2 linked regions of the Oreochromis niloticus genome follow. The protein of the gene in region 1 interacts with the protein of each later gene in a pairwise test. Links are inferred from orthologs where the notes say so. Each region holds a gene or a part of one and is shown in the gene's direction. Other genes may lie near its edges.

Region 1 (3,756 bases):
GTCACAAAGATCGAGATGAAATAATTTCCACTAGGGATCAATAAAGTATTCTGATTCTGATTCTGAAGATCAGTTTGACAGACAGACGACATAACATTCGACCATATATCCAGTTATAGTTAACTAATGCATGGAAACTTGCAAGTGTGGTTACACACACTCAGAAATTATGCTACAGTTTAACTGTGCGCTCAGGTACTTAGGTAAATAGCACTATACATCTTTATCCATGAATTAGAGGCAGGCACATTGATCCAATTATTAATAGTATCGACAACAACACTGGAATTGGTATTGGATCGATAGTAGTGTGATAGATACTTTGTTTCTATCGTCTAAATTCACTGAATTATATTTTTTTTGTGAATTAAATAAATATACCTCAAACATCCAGTATGAAAAATGTCTGAATCTTGTGTCTTGTTTATAGCCAACAGCACGTTTAAACAGCCTGAGCTGTGTGTTGGAGACAGACACATTTACAGCTCAGTCGTCCAAATACAAAAGGCTGAAAGGTGTGTTTTCATTGTGTTATTCATTATTGTAGAATCTCAGTGATTTAGTGGCCATTAAGTTGTGTTCAGAATTTGCACACCTGTGATGAGTCATGTCATAAATCATGACACGCGCTCCCCTACTTAAGGTACCTCTGTAGCTCAATAGTATTGGTATCGGCCCTGTATTTACTTGGTATCGATACTAGAATCAGCTGTGCTGGACCCGGTACCATGAATGAATGTGCTGACGTGTAGCGGACGGTGCCATCTGTGACGTAAGCGTTTTCAGACAACTGTGGGCTTGTTTTCTCCTCCAGCGTACTCCTCGTGTTAGTGAAATAAACACGGGCCATACAGCAGCAATGGCTACAGTTTACAAGATAGCAAGACACGCGTGGTCACACTTTATGTGAGACAATCTATAAAGGAAGATTTAATATGAAAGTCTGGCATGTGTGTAACCACGCGTGACCGCTGCACGCGTGACCTCCTCCCGCGGGTTACCCAAATACAATTCACGAGCGCCTCCGAGGAAGGCGATCGTTGCATTCGACAGGAAAAATGGCGGCGGCCGTAACAGGAACGCCAGAGCGAGCAGAGAGTGAAATAACAGCATGTTCCCCACAGCCTGCTTACACGGCAGCACCACACCGCGAAGCTTTATCTGCGGAGGACTTCGTGGCGGGTTTCCTGGAGGACAGAGACACCGAGCTGATGTGCTCGAAGACCGTCGGTGAGCTGATGGAGCATCTGACCGAGCAGAACAACACGCTGAAGGAACAGGTGAACGAAACAACGCACAGAAATCATCACATATACCGAGACACAGCGAAGACACGCGTGAGATGTTGTCCTGCTCGCTGTGTCAGTAACATCGTGACAGGTGTTACCCTTACGGCCGTGAATTGTTTCGGAAATTTGGCAACCCAGTCTCACAGTTAAAAACAAACAAACCCTGTAATTGCTCCCAAAAGGCTGATTGTGTCCATCTGAACGTTTTCAGTGGGAGAAACGTTTCGTCATCATCCAGGTGACTTCTTCAGTCTCAGCTGACTGCAGCTTTATAAACAGGACATTTGCACAGTGACCTCACAGCCCACTGAATGAACTGTGGGCTGCCAGCCAGCATCTGTCTCCTAATCACAGCTCAGTGAAAACGTGCACAGGCCCAGCGCCAGGCAACATAACTTACAGGTGATATGAGATTAGTAGTGGTGCAGTTATGTGGACACTGGCGTGGGAACAGTATGACGGTGCATGTTTCTATATATCTCCTTTTTACTCAGTAAACTAAAAATGTAAGACGTCTATAACACTGTATTTTCACACATTTCTGTGTCCTCGCCAAAAGGTTTTGAGTGTCAGAGAAACACGTTTGTGCGTTATTGTGAAGTTTATGCACTTATTTATAGTTAAATTAGATTTATGGTAGAAATCTCTTTAGGAATAAATTTTTTGACTGTGATTGTATATACTGTACCTTGTTTTGAGCTCAGTTTAGAGTTTATATAGCTTTAAATCAAACTGTACTCCTCCAGGCAGCCAGTGGGAGGCGCTGGTATGAGCCACTGCCAGAAGTCAGTGTTTTGATTGTGTTGAGTCTATTCCGGCTCTTTCTCTCCGCTTTCCAGTCTGTGTTGTCAAAAAAGACTTGAATGACAAACTCCTGCTTGTTGGGTTAAACCCCCTGTTGTCTGGTGGCTTTGAACACACCTGGAGAGCAGCTTCATTTTCTCCTCAGAAATATCTCTAAATATCGCTAAAAACGTTGTTTTTCCTCATGTTGGAGTTTGTTAATGCGGTGGTTTGAAGGATTCACACCAACTTCTTCCCAGTAAAGGTTTTAATGGTGATTACAGGAACAGTTGTTGTTGTTGTTTTGGACGCTAGAAACACGTTTTTGTTTTATTCATTTACCCTGAGCTCATCGTCTCATCTTAGCAGACAGAAACTGGTTAGTGAGTTATTACTAAGTTACTGACTCCATTTAATCAGCAGTGAAAATAAGTCACCAGGAGCACATCACTGTTTCAGACAGCCTAACATACAGTGTGTCTGTGCTTTCGGGCACTACCTAAAATCATCTTTGTTGTTATTATTTATTCTTACAGCAGTGGATCATAATGGGACAAGAGCTGTACTTTTCCAAAGAAATAACAGTTTTGTGCATCATGCAGGTCTTTTGTTGTACCAATGAAAGGTACATTTGTTGATGCCAAGTTTAGCGTTACATCCAGGATTCTCTTCAAGAGAGCTTATAGAGCTCTGTCTCTGTTTGTATCTGCTTTTGTAACGGATGATCGCGGTTGGTTGTGGCCTCTTCCTCATGTACTCGTGGATGTTTAGAATAGAATAAAATAATCCTTTAATTGTCCCACAAGGGGAAATTTGGTTGTAACAGCAGCAAGAAAAAATATACAAACAAACAGCGCACAGAACAGAAACATACACAATTTTTTATATATATATATATATATATATATATATATATATATATATATATATATATATATATATATATACATGTGTATATATATATATATATATATATATATATATATATATATATATATATATACATGTGTATATATATATATATATATATATATATATATATATATATATATATATATATGTATATATATATGTATTTTTACATCAAGGACAATAGTTACAAAAACAGAGTACTGTACAGTTATTAACATTAAATAAAATGAAATACATTTTATTTACAGATAAAATGTATTTCAGATAAGAGGCAAACCCAGGTTGTAGTGTGAATCGGATGATAAAATAGTGCAAGTGACAGCGCTGATGTAAACATCTGTGTTTGTTGGGAGCAGTTTTGATTGTACAGTCTGACAGCTGCAGGGAGGAAGGACCTGCGGAAACGCTCCTTCATGCATCGAGGATGCAGGCTCTGCAGTTCAGCAACATTTACATGCATGGGGTGGGAGACTGTCCATCAGAGATGTTATTTTGCCCAGAGTCCTTCTGTCTCCCACCACCTGCACTGGTTTGACGTCTCATCCTGTGTGGTGCTGACACTCACCAGTCCCCGGCCTCCTTCCTTGTGCTTAGTGTGCAGCCTCAGGATGCTGGACTTGGGGTGAAACTAGTGCTGGGCGATATATCGAGTTTTTAAAATATATCGATATATTTTTATACCAGATATAAGATGTGACAATATCGTTTATATTGATATAGTATATGTTACTTTATAATTACAGGGAGTGCAGAATTATTAGGCAAATGAGTA
Region 2 (3,756 bases), on another chromosome or scaffold:
ATGGCTAAACTTACAGGCCAGATAGTTTTGATGATGCATTGCACTGTATTACGAGAAAAGACCGTTGAAAGTCTTTCTCTTGTGTAATGGGTCCAACACCAATGTTTACAAATATATTACGTGCCTATACGACATAAGTGCTTAAACGGTCTAATGGAGTGACTTCAATAAAAATGCAAAAACGACATTCTACAAACTGACAACCATAAATACACCGAAATAAAGTTTAAATAAATTCTATAGTGCCAAATGTAAACATGAAACACTACGATACATCACATCACCAACAGTTGAACCTCTGTCCAGTTCAGCTGTGCACAGACTGAGAGTTATGATCCAAATAGAGCGGGGCTGTGGAGCTCTGTTTACCGTTAGGCACAGCTAGCAGTTTGCATTTCGCATTAGCTTCGAGCTTATGTTAGCTGTCATTACATACCAGATCCATTGGGTCCGATGATTGCAGTAAACTTGTGAAAAGGTCCGATAATCTGCCTTCCTTTATACGACTTGAAATTTTCGATCTCTATCAGTTTTAAATAACCCATCTCGTTCTATTTGTTTAGCTGGTCTGCAGTGAATATTAGCTTAGCAGTTAGCTAATGCTAACAACCAATGTTTACCCGGTAAGCTGTTGCAAAGACGCAGTGTGCACGAAATGAATGAACCCCTCTGGTCAATCTACTGCTGCTCTATGCACAAGTTACATTATGATCTGCGCAATCGTTTTAAAAATTAAAATAAAAATTATAATCTTTATCAAATATATTCGGTACGGCGGCGACAACAATGCGCCATTTTACAATCCAACAGGAAGACCCACAAGCGCGCGAGACACGAAACCTCACAGTTTCTCGCGAGACCAAATTTAGTTGTCTGGCGTTTGTCGTGTTTTGATTGTTATCTCGGCCTTGGATATCACTTTTTACTACTATTAATGCTACTTTATTACAAATTATACACATTATTAAAAAAATAAAAAGACATTTCCTTAGCTGGTCCTGTCACTCTCGTTATGTATTTCCAGCATATCGATGTGTGTCCACATGTTTCCATGGTTACCAAGCGTCTCCAAACACAACAGGAGCAGATTTTCATTCACTGATATTGACTGAAAGAAACTGAGCAGATTTATAACGTCAGCGGTAAGTGGTGTATGTCCATTTTTAAGGAAAAGCCATTTAATTTAGTCCACTTATTCTTTAAATATGCCTTTAAAGAAGCATTGGTTTTTGATGTTATCAGGTGATGACAGGAGCAAATCGCTCTGAAGATGAACCCCACCAGGATTTTATATTTCAATCGGCATAGTCATTTCTTTAATAATTTATTTTCAGGCAAGATTATCAGCTCTGATAATAAGTGTCGTAATGCTGTCTCTTTAGGAAGTCACTACAAACTTTGAACATGTACAAAGTGGATTTGCCTGTAGACGAGTCCACGGAAAAGGCTGTGGAGAGGCGTAAGGCTGCAGAAACAGCACGCAAGGCCCGCATTTTCAACACCCGGCTTCGTGTGATGGGTCTCGACCTAGATACACTAAACCAACAAGTCCAGGAGAAGAAACACCAGCAAAACATGGAGAAACAAAGGGACAAAGCTTTGGGTAAACTGAAGGACAGGGATGAGGTAGAATTAAAGCAGTATAATTGCAGACATAATTCCTGCAAGACGCTATAAATGCAAGTCCCCTGGTCCCCTTATTGTTTCAGGCCCTCTCCATTAATGAGCTTTGGTTGGTCACAGGTGTATTTTTAATGTATTACAGATAAGTTGAGAATATGCCAAGATGAAGTACTGGTGCAGCAGAACAATGCTGAAAAGGAGAAGCGAAGAGTTTTGAATTCTGAACTCACCAATTACTGGGCTACTCATCAGCGAGCAGAGGACTCTCGTGATGCTGATCTTAAATTTGACCTGAAGGGGGCATTCAAGATCGCCATTCCAGAGGATGAGCTAGGGCCTGCCAGTATGCAAATCTTTAAGGTAGGGCAGCTCTGACAAAGCAGGTGATTTGTATGCTTTAAAGACCGGGGGGGGGGCTCCAGCTAATGGTTAAATATGTAATATTGTTACCGCTTATGGTCATCTGTCCTTGTTTCATGCACAGGGAGAGGGTGTCGGAGAGGAGCTGAGGATGAGAGAACAAATAAGAAAGACAGAACGAGATCTGCGAGCACAGATGGATGAGAATGAAAAAAGGCACATGCGAGACAAGCACATAGGTGAAAAGAGACACACACACACAAGTACACACATTCACTAGCATTCCTAATGAGCTTACATCCTTTACTCTACAACCTCTGTACATCACACACATGCTTCATGCTTTCCTGCACAAACAATCATACACTCCCATGCACAGCCCTTATTACCAGGTGACAGTGATGGATGCTCATCCCTAAGAGCCTTACTGTAAGTGTGAAGTGTGCAGTTGAAGAGCCACATACAACCGCTAATGCAGGTGTGAAAAACACACATCAGATGATCCCCAAATCATGTGTGTCACAGAGATGCTTGTGAGCAAAGAGCTGGTGCAACAAGATGTGAGAGGGGCTCAGCAAGCTGCCCTCGAGGAGGTGTGTAAGAGAGCTACCCGCATCGCGCTCGACAACTACAATCAGGCTCTGGTACAGTATATGTGCACACTCACAGATGGACAAACAGATATGCACACACCACTCACTAATGTGAATCCTCAAGGCAAAAATCTAAGGGGGGGGGGCAAGCTGTGACATGATGTTGTCATGTGGGAATTGCAAGCTGAAAATGTCAAATGATGCATGCACACACTTGGTGCAGGATGGCGGCAATCATATTATTTGGCACCAGGCAACATGGATGGTTAAACAGCTTTGATGTATGCGTGGTTACTGTCTGTTTTTAAAAGCCCCCATTTAGCTCTTCCCTCATTTGCCTGAATGCACTCGGCTGAATCCCCCATTGGGAGGCATCATTGTAAATTCTTCAGGTCACTGTACTTTTTCATAGTGTTTAGTGGTTTCACTAATAACCACTCATGATGCACAAGCAAATACAGCTGACTGAGTGGCTCTCTCAGGACGACGTTCGCCATATGGCTGACTGGTAGCTCTATGCTAGGAGTAACCACATTTTAGAGACTGGGTTTTGCAATGCTTCTGAATCATCAGTCATCAGTGGGATAATCAATTAACTGTCCCTGGATCTGTGTTAAAGCCTCACCATGCTCTGTACACACAGGCTAAAGAGCAAGCAGAGAAACTGAAGGAGCAACACAAGAGAGAGGAACAGGAAAATCTGGCAGAGATGTGGCATACAATGACATCTGACATGATGACAGAGTGTGCAGAGGCAACAGAGAGACAGGTGGGAGGAGGGAGGCCACCACAGGTTCTACCAGACAGGTGGAAAGGAATGAGCCCTGAACAGCTGAAAAGCATTCAGCAGGAGAGAGAACAACAATGCCTTGAGAGACAGGTATTACACTCTGTACTCCACAGTAATATAGTCAAAGCTGCACACAGTATCCCACATATGGTATGTAGAATACCATGTGCACACAATCCCTTGAGTACTTGTGTGTTTTGTTAATGCGACTTCAGAGGTGGCCAGCGGGGGAATTGGGCGGGGCAAGTACTTGTGCTTTGGCACTGTGGGACAGAAAAACTCTTGTTGAACCTTAGACAGAACCAGGCTCAGGGGCAGGCAGCCATCTGCCGCGACCATTTTGGGATGAAGGGAAAGAGTTTTTGACATCTGTGCCAACTTTTCTACATG

The links.
Region 2: the proteins of rint1 (region 1) and ribc1 interact in binary tests that used the Homo sapiens proteins (3 or more experiments, as listed by UniProt). The two-hybrid records come from large-scale screens. The link is inferred for Oreochromis niloticus from reciprocal best matches to the Homo sapiens genes RINT1 and RIBC1.

What each region holds. Positions count from the first base shown.
Region 1 is NC_031981.2:450,592-454,347, forward strand, and holds the start of rint1 (RAD50-interacting protein 1), read left to right. Parts: upstream 1-831; 5' UTR 832-1,058; coding exon 1,059-1,280; intron 1,281-3,756. UniProt on the Homo sapiens protein: Involved in regulation of membrane traffic between the Golgi and the endoplasmic reticulum (ER); the function is proposed to depend on its association in the NRZ complex which is believed to play a role in SNARE assembly at the ER.
Region 2 is NC_031984.2:20,063,319-20,067,074, forward strand, and holds the start of ribc1 (RIB43A-like with coiled-coils protein 1), read left to right. Parts: upstream 1-948; 5' UTR 949-1,142; intron 1,143-1,382; 5' UTR 1,383-1,404; coding exon 1,405-1,603; intron 1,604-1,765; coding exon 1,766-1,983; intron 1,984-2,107; coding exon 2,108-2,222; intron 2,223-2,508; coding exon 2,509-2,627; intron 2,628-3,219; coding exon 3,220-3,456; intron 3,457-3,756. Other genes in the region: structural maintenance of chromosomes protein 1A, read right to left, coding at 437-545.